2 linked regions of the Lytechinus pictus genome follow. The main gene of each other region encodes a partner of the protein of the gene in region 2 in a complex. Links are inferred from orthologs where the notes say so. Each region holds a gene or a part of one and is shown on either strand. Other genes may lie near its edges. The genes, in order: mediator of RNA polymerase II transcription subunit 20-like and mediator of RNA polymerase II transcription subunit 23-like.

Region 1 (7,993 bases), on a different chromosome or scaffold from region 2:
TATACAGCAAACTTAAAGGACAAGTCCACCCCAACAGAATATTGATTTGAATAAAAAGAGAAAAATCCAATAATCATAACACTGAAAATTTCATCAAAATCGGATGTAAAATAAGAAAGTTATGACATTTAAGTTTTGCTTAATTTCACAAAACAGTTGTATGCACATATCATCCTGGTCAGTATGCAAATGAGGAAGTTCAAAATGTCATAACTTTCTAATTTTACATCCGATTTTGATGACATTTTCAGTGTTATACTTGTTAGATTTGTCTCTTTTTATTCAAATCAACTTTTTGTTGGGGTGGACTTGTCCTTTTAGGAAACCACAATGACCTCAGGATTCTGTAAATAGTCTACTACTGTACAAACTTTCTTAAAATTCACAATAATAATAATCTATGCAACATTTCTAGCACTTAATAATACAATGTTTCTAAGTTTGTTATACTATTACCCGAATTAGCACGGCTACTCGTATCAAGCGCTCAAGCATTCAAGGAATTTCTTTCTACTACCTACCCACGTACTATAGTCATGTATCGTATTACTGGACACTTTCATGATTCTGGACGTGCATATTAGTGCATATGAAAACAACTTTGTACCTAGGACTTCCGCAGTTCAATTTCACAGAATACATAGAACAAGATTGCAAAAACAAGGCGAATATATCCAGCTTTTACCTTACCGGTATTTAACTCTAAAATGAGAGAAAATGCTTAAAATATCATATGACATAGTTTTGCATTAACAATTGATAGATTTTCTGATGGTAATATGGGCCTGAATTGCCGAATTTCAATCACGTCCGCTCCTTCGATCGAATGTTGAGGTGTGGCATGTATACATTGTGGGTGATCGTCGACGGCTAGTTCTCAAGGTACCCGTGAGCGAGGTTTACCATGATAAGAGCCGTCGACAATCATCAGCGCATCAATAGAACTTGATGAGCGTCACGATAAGAACGAGCATAACATTGGAAAGTGCCATGGGGGCATGGAACATGCAGTTAAAAAGACAACAAAATAAAATTAGTTAGCAAACACGTATTGTTTACTAACATCTGCTGAGATTCAATATAAAAAAGCGAACAAATAAGAATTTACTAATGATATGATATATGAAGAAAAATTCACACCAATTCTTTCTTACATCATTATAATCAAGAATATCTTTACCCATCAGCGCGTTTCCGGAATATGATGTAATTTGTAACGCACAAAAATTGTTTTTCGTGGAGGGGTATGCGGTAAGTGCGATGCAAAGAAAACGGTTGGTAAATATAAAATAATTTTAACATATTCATAATTTCCATATTTGGAAAAGCAAGTGCAAATTTTTCCTGATTGTATTTCCTCTAGTTGTCATGTTTAAAGCACTGAAATAAAGGTGTCTGGCAATAGGATACACTGCTATACACCTGGTTGGAAAGATGCAAATGTACGTAACGCCTTGCCAAAGGACGAGAGTCCTGCCGTGGGATTCGAACCCCAGACCTTGTGGGTCCAAGTCCGGAGGCTTATTCACTGAGCCACAACACCACTATGATATTAGTCATTGATCGATTGATTCATTACCAAACTAGCACATGTAGAGGAAGAAAAAATGTCATACACTGTCTTTGAAAATTACACAAAATTTATTCTAAAGGGCATTTCTTTTTCTTTTTAAAGTGATGGAAAGAGGCAAAAACATTGTCATTGTTTTCTAAAAAAAAGCCAAGAAAAATGGTCAAGAAGATAGCACATTATTTTACTTGGTACAATAATTAATAAATTATTCTATTGAAGAGAAAATTCTAAATTGAAATGAATTATGGGCTTAGATTAAAGTCGTGCTTACATGGAGATAAAAGTGACAAAGCCAAAGGATTTATATTAAACAATGAACATGATGAATGAGTTGATTAAAAGTCAAGAGTCTTGAAGCCAGTTTGGAATAGAATTAAATCACCAGTTTTGACATCAAATTTTGAAACAATGAGGTCTAGATGTAATCAAAATATTATAGACTTCCATGACATTATCCTGGTTTAAGTCACCAGTCCATGATTCACTGCCATTTATTTCGTCAGCGCTGGCGACTTCATTCCACTCCCATTGTCTTTGTGCACAACGAGTGCACACACACCGACACACGAGGTCGAGAAGAGAGCCTGAAAATTTTCACGATAAAGCTTATTATTGGCCAATGAATAAGATAATTGCGGCATTATCCTGGTTTAAGTCACCAGTCCACTCCATTCACTGCCGTTCATTTCGTCAATGGCGGTGACTTCTTTTAAGTTTCATCTCCAATTGTCTTGACTTTGTCTTGAGTTTTACTTCGACCTTCGTAGAAATTGTACACAACCTGCGCACACATACGAGAATAGAGGCGACTTATTTCAGGATAAGGCCATAATTGCTCTGAAAAATTAAAGAAATCTTGATGTACGATAACTATCACTAAAATTTAATGAAGATGTCACAAGAAAACCATGCAGCAAGTAAAGCGACACTGACACAGTGACACTCACACATATTGCGAGGTTAGTACCTCGCACCATGAACCGCGTTTGGCAGTGGATTTCTGACTAGTGGGTCGCGAGTGCGAGGATCTCACTTCTGGTGTCCACAACACACGACTTCTATGGCTTCTATGACACATGCAGTGACAGTCTTAGACCAAAACTTTAAAGCTTCGGTCTCTGTTATGTTGGTTGTTCAGCTGAACTCCGTTGGCTTCACTCACCAAACAAAAAAAAGTTAAAAAACTCCTCGAAACAGACGGCTGCCAGCTGTCTATGACAGTCTCAGCTCTGTCAACGCCAACACTAACAGTCACACATCACGAAATTCAGTATATGGGCACATGTAAGTTAGTTTAGCGACACTGACCCAAAATATACGTCGTACGATCGACTAGGCCTACCTGTCCTTGCCGCTTGGGCATCTACAGGTGATAGGTCTAATCACAATTCTTTCATAAAGTGAAAATGATAGTTGAAAGCAATATCAGGCATGCCCAATATCAATGGCTCATTTGAACTATTAAGATTGCAACAACAAAAAACATACCACGTTACTCCCATTATGACAAAACAGCTTTTCTCCTTTTGTATTTTGGAAGCGCGCCGAAATATCTTATCAACGACAAATTTGCAATTGTTGGTCCGGTGCGCAAATCTTCGGATGATCGGCATATCTGCTGTCATGTCCCAGTCCACCAACTTTCCACAAATGCCTATATAGAAGCTCTCCATTGTGATTTTAATTGCATTTTCAAAGGAATCTATGCGTTGTAGAGAGTTTCCCCGTTATAAATGCGAAAACTATCTAATTCCTAAATGCAGCACCCCCTGGAATTCTAGTAAATGTGGAAAATTTGTGAATTCAACCTAAAGGACCTATTTTTAGTGACCCCCCCCCCCTTTTTTTTTCTTTTTCTTTTTCTTTTTTTTTTTGCTTGTCAAATTTCTTGGGACCATAACGAGACCTTATTTGGGTTATTTTTTAGGGTTTTGTAGTGAAACCTTTTTCTTTTTTTTGTGGTTCCCAGGCCCGTACTGCCCCTCCCTAAAAACACACACATGTACACACAAACTGAGAAGGGTAACCTGCTAATAAGACGCTAAGTACTGGTATTGCATACATAGATCATATACTTGGTACTTGGTAGGAATCCTCCAAAAGACGCCATAAAGGTGTTTAAACTGGAGGTGTGTCGTGTACGGTCACCAACTTAAGGTTCCGGTTTTCAAGGTTTTTTGGAGTGCTGGCTTAAAGGTTCCTAAGGATGGTTGGGATATAACTGAGGAGGGGAGATGGTTCCAGTCTTTGACAGTCCTCGGAAAAAAATTAGTTTGCATGTGTATCTGTTCTGACATGTTTGATGTAGAATTGTTGATCATGACCCCGTCTTGCTCGATTTTCCTTCAGAGAGATGTATTCCTTGCAGTTGACGTCCATTAAACCATGGATCATCTTGAATGAACTGGTGATTCGGGAACCCTGTCTTTCCTCTTGGAGGGGGATCCAACCCAAGGAGTCCTTCAGAGCAGTAACACTTGAGTCTTGCCCATAAGTGTTGGTGGTGAACCTAGCTGCTGCATTCTGGACCCTTTCGAGATTTGTTATGTTTGTAGTTGTGTAAGGATCCCAAACTGAAGACGCATATACAGTAGTTAAGATGAGGCTTAACCAGCATAGTGTACAACTTCTCCTTCGTCTTAGATGACTATTAATATACCGGTACATGTAGGCCTATTGTAAAGAGATTAAAGATTTACATGATACAAAATTACATGATCTAATGGCTTTGTAGTTTTGGAATCCCCCAAACTGCATAACTATAGGCCATCAAGTTCAAGTATCGTCCGTAATGGTGCATCACAATGATTTAAAAGAGGCATAAACATGTTTACCAGATACGTATCCACACAATCAATTACATTATATTTTCGTTCCTTTCTTCATAATAATTTTATTCTGATGAAACCCCGCCATTCGACCATTATAAGCTACAAGGTCCCCAACTTATTGTTCTGTAAATGTGCATGCGGTGATGTAATGATTATGAGTATGATTTAATTTTCATCATCTTATAATCGATATACAGGCCTAATTATAAGAATTATTTGATTAGAATAATTCCTTTGATGAGCGACTATCTCATCATTGATAGTCCTTCACGGTGAGGTTTTGCACCCACCAGCCCTACCCCGGCTCTACCCCTCCGGATCCTGGCGATATGTATTAACTGATGGATGGTATTTATCCATTACGTACCATATTTGCTAATTCTAGATAGAATGAATAATAATGAATGATGCTATATTATAATAAATGGACATTATAGACCAAGTGTGAATTAGACCAAATGAAAATTAGACCAAGTGACGATTAGCCCAACTGGTCATTAGACCAATTGGCGATTAGACCAAGTGGTCATTAGACCATTTGGCTATTAGATTAAGTGGGAATTAGACGAATTGGATATTAGACCAAGTGGAAATTAGACTAAATGGAAATTACACCAAGTGGAAATTAGACCAAACGGTCATTAGACCATGTGGCAATTAGACAAAATGATAATTAGACCAAGTGTAAATTAGCCGAAGTGGAAATTAGACCAAGTGGTGCTAGACCAACTGGAAATTAGACTAAATGGTTTTAGCCCAACTGCTCATTAGACGAATTGGATATTAGACCAAGTGGGAATTAGACGAATTGGATATTAGACCAAGTGGAAATTAGCCCAACTGGTTATTAGCCCAAATGGAAATTAGACGAATTGGATATTAGACCAAGTGGGAATTAGACGAACTGGTTGTAGACGAAATGAGTTTAGACTATGTGAAGTTGGACGAACTGATAAGTAGACCATGTATAGTATTAGATCATCCGACAATTCACTAATTCATGTATCAGTTAAACAATAATATGTTACCACCCATATCTAATTCTTCATTTAGCAAAACTCTTCACAAATATCCCACACGTCAATCAGATGAATTCCATTTACCACTACCCCGGACCATCCTTGCAAAATCAATTTTTACTTTTGAAGGCCCTAGACTCTGGGGAACTATTAATAATAACATCAAAGAATCACCAAGCCTAAATTCTTTCAAATATAAGTTCTAAAAAATTATCCAAGATAACCATTGAATTAACTCTTCATCACTCAAACTCTTGTATTTTTTTAATCAAACATGATTATCGTGTGACGTACACTTTTCCATCTCTTTCGTTTTCCTGTTGATGCTGGATTCTGGAGACCTTTAATATCTCTTTTTCTTATTTCCTTTTCTATTTTAATTTCCCCCTATTTCTTTTTAATTTAACTGGTTAATGCTCAAGTTGTTATTTTGATGATGCTATGTAACTAGAAAAATATTTATTAGGAGGCTGCACTCTACGAGCTCCGCTTTTTAGCAGCCTCCTCCATTTCCAACTTGATATGTAATGAAATTGAATATAATTTTTGTACTGGGATACTTGAAATATGTTTCGTTATTTGTATGTCAAAATGTACAAAATAAACTGTAATTGTTGAAAATGGAAATAAACGAAATGAAATGTTAACTTGCGAAAATGAAACAAATAAGGTGAAATTTAGTAAACCATATTCCCTTTGTGATAGATTTAAATGAAAGGAAACAAATATTATCTACTGCTTAATGTTTATACAGATGGCGCTATATCATCTTTGGATTAGACTTGGCTAGACTTAAATAATATGCATTTACACCCGCAAAAAACAAAAGCCATGGTATTTGGTCAAAAGAAAAAGTTGAGGGGTGCTCATTTGTCAGTGAAATTCAGAAACATACAATTAGAAAATGTAAAAAAGATTAAATACTTAGGTGTCATGCTCGATCCGGGCTTGACTTGGTGCGAACATATTACTAATATCGTTTGTAAAATATCTCGGGCAATATAGGTTGTGGAAGGCGGATTAAGCACTTACTGTCCTTTGATATTATGAAGAAGCTGTACTTTTCTATGGTTTTACCTTACATTGATTACTGTATTACATCTTGGGGAAGCAGTGCAAAAATACATTTAGATAAGATACAAAAACTTCAAAATAAATATGCCAGAATGCTTTTGAAAAAAGATTATAATACATCACAAATTTCTTTGTTGCAGTCACTGAAGTGGCAATCAGTAGATCAGCGTATAAAATATCAGTATTGTGTTCTTGTATATAAAATAATGAATGATTTAGTTCCAAATTATTTAAAACCTTTAGTATGTAAACGGCCCGTGAAATACAGGACACGGTATTCTTTACGATGCCCCCTTCAGCTTCCCAAAGCTAGAATTGAACATAAAAGAAAATCTTTCGCATATGTCGGACCCAAATTATTTAATGCACTTCCTTCAAATTTACAAGTTTGTACCTCCTTGTTAGTTTTTAAAAAAATTATGCAAAGCCTTTCATACGAATTGATAAAGAGCGAAATGATATTCCTTTGATTTACAATGCTATGTATGTTTAAATTGTCACTTCCCACTCTATATTTTGGTGTTAATTGTTTCTGATGTTAGATATTTTGTATTTTGTATTTTTGATGTTGTTTGTTGTTGTTGTTCATAGTTATCTTGACATGTATTTTAAACTGCAGGGCGCCTTTGTAAAGCAGTTTTAAGAACTGAACAGGCCTACCCTGCAGTATAAAATAAATAAAACAAAATAAATAAAATAAATAAATAAACAAATAAAATTTAACAAGTGTGCTAAAATCGATAGATCAGAAGTGATTAGATATGGATTAGCTATTCATTTTAGAGATGTTCATCTTATTTCAAACAAGTCATTATTTAGAAATAAGATTTTTATAACGTTATCAACGAGAGATAGCGCTATGCAACTTGAGTTCCTGCAGTCATTTGCAATATGAGAGGCGGTGATGATAATTATGGTATGATATTGAAGAAAAGAGGGAGAGGATTGTGATAGTGCACGTTATAATTTCATTATCAATATCACTATAATCATAGTAAACAATAATGATAACAATCCCAATAACGTAACAATTTTCACGAAGATTACCAAGAGTACAAATCGATGAAAAGTAGAAAGAAAACGAATTTCATCAACATGAACTTGACTGTGTAAAGTCTTTTATTTCATGAAATTTCAGGATCTTTGAAGTCTCACTCGATTTTTTATACATTGTTAAGTATGAAATAATAAAAAGCAAGGAAGATTAGAATGGCCCTTGTGCAAGGATGACACGCAAAATTGTGAAGCGTTCCATATTTTTATGTAGCTCCCTTCCCCAGGGGTCACACGGGCCTAATTACAACTGCCAGGCCAAAGATATTCATTCGAGCCAACCCATTGCTCAATTTTTTAATTTTATATTGCTGATTGACAAAAATGAATGAATATGATTGACAATCTAACACTGATTCTAGGGAGGGTACCTACTGAACTTCCTTTTCCCAAATTGGAAAGATATATCACTACTTTGGAACTATGTTTTTATTGACGGAAGA
Region 2 (7,996 bases):
CAGAACTTGCTCAACTTTTGCGGCAAATTTTGTCGCCATAGGGTTGTGCACATTCTCGTTTAATACTGGTTATCACGTGACACGGCAATGTCGTTAGGCTGTTTGGCCTGTATTCAAGGCGTTCTATCCGTTATGATTTTATATTGAATGAAGCTAATTCCATCAGGTATAGGCCCCTATCAAGTCAAAATCGATACAGGGATCGAGAGGGGGGGGGGGTGGAGCCAAAAATTTCCCAGTCACATGGTATGAAAATAATATTTTTTATGATTGTCCACGATCATTAGGGCAAACCCGTGTGTGGCAGTACGGTAGCGTGATGAGTAAAAAAAATAAAAAATAAAAGAAAGAAAGAGGGCCAATGTAGGCATACATGGCGCGTGGGAATAAAGTTGCTTTATATGTTCCAAGCGAGTGAAGCAAGCGAGAAAAAAACTTTTCGTGCAAATCTAAATTTGAGATAGATATCTTAACTTACACTTTTCCTTTTCTTTTCATTAATTCCCTTAATTTCTTTTTTATCTTGGTTGTAGAACTTTCGGGGGCCCCTAGGCCTAACCCTTCCATCGTGTACCCCCAGTGCAATATCAGCAGGTGGGTCTCGATAACTCTGGATATTTAGCAATTAGACCTATTTATAGAAAAACATAACGTTAATGTTTTGACCCCTTCCCCCCAAAAAAAGGAAAAACAATTATAAACTAAGTTATATACATCCCCCTTTTCTCATTTCGCTTTTTATTTTCTCTATTCCCTCCTTATTTTTTTTTGGGGGGAGGGACCTTTTCGGGGGGCACCGCCCCTAGCTACGCGCCTACCAGATGAAGAGGCGAGCGAGCAAAACCTTTGTCACTTTTATTACAAATATCAATTTTGCAATAGATTTTGACATAACATTCGGAATTATTCTCGCATGCATTTTTCTTTCCTTTTGCTTTTTTATGGCCTTTTATTTCTCTTCCCTTTCTCTTTCTGTCTTTCTTTCTTTCTTTCTTTCTTTCTTTTCCTTCCTTCATTCCTTTTCTCTTATCCCGTTTTTTTTTGGTGAAATCCAAAGTAAAATTTGACAACTCCCAAAAAAGATTCTTACTAAAAAAAAAAAACCGGTCATTATATTGTCTTGCGTAAAGTTTGACAAGTTAAAAAAAAATGGTCACTCAAAATGAAAGTCATTTTGTCCGCGTAATATTCGGCAAGCCCCCCCCCCCCCCCACAAAAATAAGAAAAAAAAAAAAAAAAAGGTTTTAACTATAGCAATGATCGAAGGTCATTTTGTCTCGCGTAAAATTTGACAATTTTTTTATAAAGTTGTCACTAAAAAGAAGGTCATTTTTTCCACCATTGATTATATTTGGCAAGCCCCCAACCCCCACCCCCATAAAAAAAAGTTTGTCCCTAAAAGTGATGTATAGAAAGTCATATTGTTAATTTGTTCCCAGTAAAATTTTGAATTTGGCAATTAAAAAAAAAGGCAAAAAAGAGAAAAGAATATGAACGAAATATCCCCATTACAAATAATGCTGTACGTGATTCTCATGAGGGGGGGGGGGGGGCACCCCATAACTAGTATTAATAACATATTTAATTCCAAAATGTTTACTATAAATCTCAAAAGGGGGAACGGGCAGAAATGCTCACCCCCCCCCTCCCCCCCCCCGCCACTGATTCCAATCAATAATGACTTTTCTCTGCAATACTGATGCTTTGAAATCAAGATACTGAAGATTGATACGCTTAACATAAATTATGAACGTCTGACAAAAAGATATCCAACCGATCACCTGACCGATCAGCTGACCAGTACGCGTATCACTTCGGAGTTGATCACTCGTCGCAGCTGTGTGGAATGCTCACCGAAAATCAACAAAAAGGGCCTGAAATGTAAGTTTAACAATAATCGATTTTAATTTCAACTATTTTTACAACTAAATAAAGGTTTGCCGTCCGAATGAAAGGTATATCGGATAACTCTAACTTGTATTAAGGTGTACATTTACCAAAGTCTTGGGTTGGAAATCAGAACAGCATTGTCCAACCCATAATTTGGGTAATGTCGCCTATGAGGTCCATACATCTTAATGTTTGGACCTCATTGGTATGGTTGGAACTACCCCTTATCGACCACCTAATCTTCTAAGCATCATATCTGCGAAAATATTCATCAATTTTACCCAGTTTTCGTCTCATTTGTGCAGAAAATTGAGCAGATCAGATTCCCATGTTTCGCTCGGCGACTCCGATTCAATTTGCGTATATATCGACGATCAACGAATGCGACGATTTTCCATTTGCTCATTTGCACCCGTCTTTTGAAACCGACCACCCGCGGTACACTAAGTTTACGGCCGATTCTTGTCGCGGTGGCGAAATATTTTTACTCTTTCAAATCAGTTCTATGAGTGACGTCAACATGCTAAATGATCGCCTCACTACTTCCACTGCGAGCTCCGACGCATGATTCGACGATTGACGACGGATATTTGTTCTAAAGCCGTTTCCTATCGGATTTCTTGGTTTTTCAGCGGGTTTTGGGTTTGGTCAATACAATTTTGATTAATTCTACTAAATCTTTACTGTTTGTTGCTTCTTTTTTTCTCGTAAAATCGATTCTTACCGTTTCTATGGACACTGCGCCTACTCTCCCGCGCGTATCGTTTGTAATACGCAATAATTTTAACGCGCGCAAGGTGGTCGGTTTCAAAAGAGGTGGTCTTACCATACTAGGAGTGGCTATAATCAACTTCATACAAATGAGAACTTAACACAAATCTCACGCGAGAACGATCCGAGAGCTTTGCATTGCTTGAGCGCACAGATTAGACTTGCCCGCGAGCCGTTCCTTTCGTATTTTTGTGGATTTTGGCGGAGCAGTGGTGTAAATAAAAAATACGCGGCCCGGGTGGGGGGTGGACACTCATACAAAACAAGCAACTCGAATTTTCAATGCACGATTTTGAATGAATGGGACTAAGAAAGGAGTTGAACTTGAAAAAGTTTCATTTTTTATTTAAAGATAAAAAGTACAGACCACATACCGGTACCGTAAGGTACGTGAATCTATGTTACGCCTCAGTAATAAGAAATTACAAATTGTTGGAACTCACATGAACAAAAGTAAAAAGAATCTGGGCTGGAAAAGTCGGAAAACAAAGACGCTTTTCGCCACTGCACTGCCAGCGCCACCGTTGAACTTCGCCTCATAAACATACACAGAATTGAATTACTATAGCGCCATCTTCGTTGGATCCGAGCTCGGGCCGTTTGATCTTGTTAAATTATAATTAGAGGTGAGGTGAGAATTACAAAATTATACCATTTAATAACCCCTTTTGAATATCCTATTCATCATATTTTTTTTTCCAACTCATACATGTCATATGGCTATTTGTACTCTCGAAAATCCATATCCCGTTTTATTCCAGATGAGGTGGGAGTGGAGTGGCCCAATTTTACAGCCCCACACATGCTTTTTCATGTTGTTATAATTATCTAAGTTTTAACTCTTGGTCTTAAGTTATTCTAAGTTATCTAACGTTAGTTAGGTCCTGGCCACTCATCCTACGAACGAGGTTATAATAATGGCGCTGGCCTACTCTCACTAACTTTAGTGTCTCACTCACACGTATTGCGAGGTTAGTAAGTATACTAATTTATAATTACTATTTCTAACCTCGGCCTCGCACTGTCTGTGAACATGGTGAACATGTCTACGAAGTACGAGACTACGGCTACGCAAACCAAGCATGCCAAGAGTTGTCTGTTAACATAGCTTCATATAACGCGAATAATTGTTAGCCGAAACTAATTCCGCTAGATATCACCAGGGGCCTGTTGCATTGAAAGGGTCTTTCGTAGAACCATTCTACGTAAGAACGAGATATCGCTCAACTGTTTCACAAAGGCGATTTGGGCGATACAAAGAATGGTCCTTGGAAAGACACCTCCAGACCACTCACACATATTGCGAGATTCAATTCAATTCAATTCAATCATGGTTTATTTCGTATAAAAACAATACATGTTACACAGCCAGAAGGCTGAAGTTAGCATGTTTACAATAAAATGTTCACAAGTCATGGATAAAAGCAACAATTACAATTTAAACATGTACTGTAATGTACATAAATAATAAATAATTTTTAAAGAGCAAGTGTACATAAAAATTCATTAAATATAATAAAATAGAATGGTAAAGAAACTATGTAAATACAATATTAAAAGTGATGAATATTAGACAATTAAAAATTCAAATATCAATTGGATTGAAATGGAGACTAAAACAATGGCAAAGATTTAAGTTGACTTCAAGGGTATGAAAGTAGAAATTTATTTAGAATTTAGTAAATCAATGAAATAAGGTATTGCACTTTTTCTAAAACGATCTGTTTTGCATTTTATCTGAGCAAAGTTTGGAACACTTCTTAATGAGATTGAGATATTTTTTCTTTTTGGTAGCCAGTTGTTACAGTGAGGGTTTTTTAAAAGAGATTTAGCAAATTCCATACACAGTTTTTTTCGTCTTCTTTCAAGACATTCTAATCCACATTTTGTTAGTGCATCTTCATAGTCTATATAATCTGAGCCAAGAATTATTTTGCAAACTCTTTTTTTGTATTTTTTCTAAGTCTTTTACCTGTTTAGCAGTTAGTGCTCCGTTGAATACCGGTACACAATACTCCAATATTGGACGAATATATCCAATGTAAATTTGAACAAGGTCTGACATAGGGAGTTTATATTGTTTGACAAGTCTGAACATATACAATTTTTTGTTACACCTTTTTATAATATCTGAAATTTGTTTATCCCATTTTAAGTTTGACTGAATATAGACACCAAGTATTTTAACAGTTTCTGAATATTGCAGAGAAGTGTCACCAATATGCAATAGATTAGGTAATGGTGGATTTTTAGAAAAAGTAACTCTGATTACATTGCATTTATTCGGATTTAGTTTCATATGATTATCAGATGACCAGGTAACGAGTGCATTGAGATGACATTGTAATACAGAAGGAGTTTGTATTGAACGATTTTCAACTATAGTAAGATCGTCAACATATTTAAAGTGCGGTAAAGATTCATTCTGACATGCATCATTAAACATGATCAAAAATAATATCGGGCCTAATTTTGTGCCTTGAGGCACTCCAGCATGATTTTTAATATACGACGACAATACACCCTGATATTTAACAGATTGAAAACGATTTTCTAAAAAACTAACTATCCACTCAATTATGCAAGGTCTTACGTTAAATTCAATTAATTTTCGAATCAGAATATTATGGTCAAGTCTATCGAAGGCTTTGGAAAAGTCTGTGCAAACAATAGTGGATATTGATTTAGATTTTTCACAGTTGTCCAATACACAATGCAATAATTTTACCAAATAATGGGTAGTTGACAGACCTTGTCTGTTTCCGTATTGATGAATGTCAATATATTTAGAAATATCTTCCAATAACCATTTCGTAATGAATGATTCTGCAATTTTAGCGAATTGACATGTAAGAGATATAGGTCGAAGTTCTTTAATATTCGGTGGTTTTGACTTGGGAATGGGAACAACCTGACTTCGCTTCCACTGCCAAGGTACTAACCCTTGTTGAAATGATGTATTAAGGATATTGGCAAGAGGATGGCTTAGTTCACAAGCGAATTCACGAATTACACGAGGGGGTAAGTCATCTGTTACACCTGCTTTACTGCATTTTATTTTCTTTAGCATAGAATAAACCTGATAAGGTTGTACTTCTGGGCAAACACAAGGAGAAGGTAAAAAAGCTGGTAAGCAACTTCTATCCAACGGCGCCAAATCTGATGCTATATTAATTAAATGTTTATTAATGGTATCAGCAGTCTTCTCTTGACGATCTTTATCATTAGGTTCAACACCAGGTACAGCAATTACGTTAGATGTGTTGTTCTTTTTTGTAATAATCTTGATTTGTTTATACCAGTCTGCTGGATTTGTTGATTTAAGATGAGATACACGTGTGTTATAATAACGTTTTTTTGCACTTTTTATCATTCTATTTACTTTATTTCTGAGACTACGCCACAGAGGTTTGTTATTCTTCTCAAAAGCTTTTTCTCTTTCAATTATGATTGCTTTTATCTGTGGTGTCATCCAAGGTTTGTCATTATCCAAAGTTGCTGATGAGTTGCTATAATATGGAATGTGTGTACCAAGATATTTCAAATGTTTGATTTTTCCCTTCAATAATGAAACTTGTGTAAGTATACTGCAGCTAACATACACAGTTCCAGTGCAGGTAGAATAGTATACTAACATGTCCTACGTAGGCATGATCTTCTTTGCACACCGCCCGCCACCGTCGGCATTGAGAGAAAATGCGTTTACGGCAAGCCACACTGACATCACCTTTAAACATTTTTTGGTTTGTTTTTTTAGAGCAACACTCTAACCCACACGTGAGCAGCACGCTGGCCATTTGCAGTCTACTGCCCTGCCGGTGCAAACTTCAGAAGGTTCAAGAAGGTTCATTGATTCATTTTATCTGGGATGGTGCCAAGTTATTTTTTATTGGGGGCTAGTTGTCATCAATTTCAGGTCGTCTTTTTGCATGGCAAGACGACCGAAAACGGATGTCATTTTAACTTCTTCGGGGTATTATGTCCGGGGGTAATGTAGGCCCAAATATTTTTTTTGAATATGTTTTCTTTTATTCTCCCCTGTCCTATCCCCACACCATTTCCATTAATTTTTTTTTTGAAATATCGAAATGGGCGGCACTATCTCTCTGACCCCTCATGCTGTCTCTTTATCTATTAAACAACATGAAAATAAATTTCTTTAAAAGAAATTAGGGCCTATATAAGGTAAAAAACGTGTTTATAGCGTTCAGCAAAAAAAAACACGATACAAAACTAAAATGTTAATGGTAAATCATTTATTCATTTTTATTTCATTTCCATTATAATTATTATTTTTTTGCTGAGATTAATTTTAATCAATGAAAATTAATTGTCGGATTTGGGCTAACTTGGGATGTGAAACAGTGAAACAAAACAAAAAATCTGCAGTAACAAAATAGCTAATTGAATTTAAGACACAGATTAGGCCTATAGCTTACGAATCCATCGCAATCATTACAAATGAAGATAAGTTCATTAAAGAAAAGATTATGGAAAGTAGGGGAGACCGGGGTTAGTTGGAACATTTTGGACAAAAATGGCTGTAAAATCCAAATAGGCCTAGACTTTATTTGAGAAACAATCAATATATCAGCTTGAAGCATATATCTAAGGGCTTCAAATGTACCCCATAAAATTTTTAAATCTATGATGGTTACTGAAAAAAAATCCACCTTGAAAAAGACTATCGCAAGCGTTCCAACTTACCCTACATCGGGGTAAGTTGGAACATGGTATGGGGTAAGTTGGAACACTGCATGGTCAATTAAGAATTATACTTAAACTACTTACAACCGTAATATTACATGGTTTCAGCATATTTGCTTTATTTTTTTCAAGTTCAAAATATTAAAAGTGGATTTGTTGAACTTTATGTTTTCTATTATACAGCCACTCATGCCAGCCAACTGTGTAGTAGATTTCCGCTTATTTGTGTGCGTTTGATTTTACATGCAATTAAGTGTACTATCAGCAATTTCTTGTACTTCTGCATCAAAGTTACTTGACAAAAATTAACTGTTTATATTATTTATTAATTAATTATGCAAATAAGCATATGAAATTTGCCCTATTAAAATTTTGTATGTTTTTGCCTTTAAATCAATTCATTAAGCTAGTAGAATGCTAATTTTTGGTGAGAGTATCAATCTTTACCTTTATAACAAATATCCACAAAAACTTGCAAAAAATATAATTTTTTATGTATTTTTTATTTTTTAAACTTGTATTTCTTTGTTTTTTCGAACCTTTGTTTTTTCCGATGAACTTTGTCGGGGACTCTTTTGCGATCATTAATAGCATAAAATAAATCCATTTGAACCAACAAAAATAAAAA

Evidence for each region.
Region 1: mediator of RNA polymerase II transcription subunit 23-like (region 2) and mediator of RNA polymerase II transcription subunit 20-like share a complex: the UniProt entries of both Drosophila melanogaster proteins name them as parts of the mediator complex. The link is inferred for Lytechinus pictus from reciprocal best matches to the Drosophila melanogaster genes MED23 and MED20.

Annotation. Positions count from the first base shown.
Region 1 is NC_087247.1:67,256,167-67,264,159, forward strand, and holds the start of mediator of RNA polymerase II transcription subunit 20-like, read right to left. Parts: upstream 3,221-7,993; 5' UTR 3,199-3,220; coding exon 3,062-3,198; exon of another isoform or gene 2,652-3,061; coding exon of another isoform or gene 2,521-2,651; intron 1-2,520. UniProt on the Drosophila melanogaster protein: Component of the Mediator complex, a coactivator involved in the regulated transcription of nearly all RNA polymerase II-dependent genes.
Region 2 is NC_087261.1:120,955-128,950, reverse strand, and holds the start of mediator of RNA polymerase II transcription subunit 23-like, read right to left. Parts: upstream 3,200-7,996; 5' UTR 3,105-3,199; intron 1-3,104. UniProt on the Drosophila melanogaster protein: Component of the Mediator complex, a coactivator involved in the regulated transcription of nearly all RNA polymerase II-dependent genes.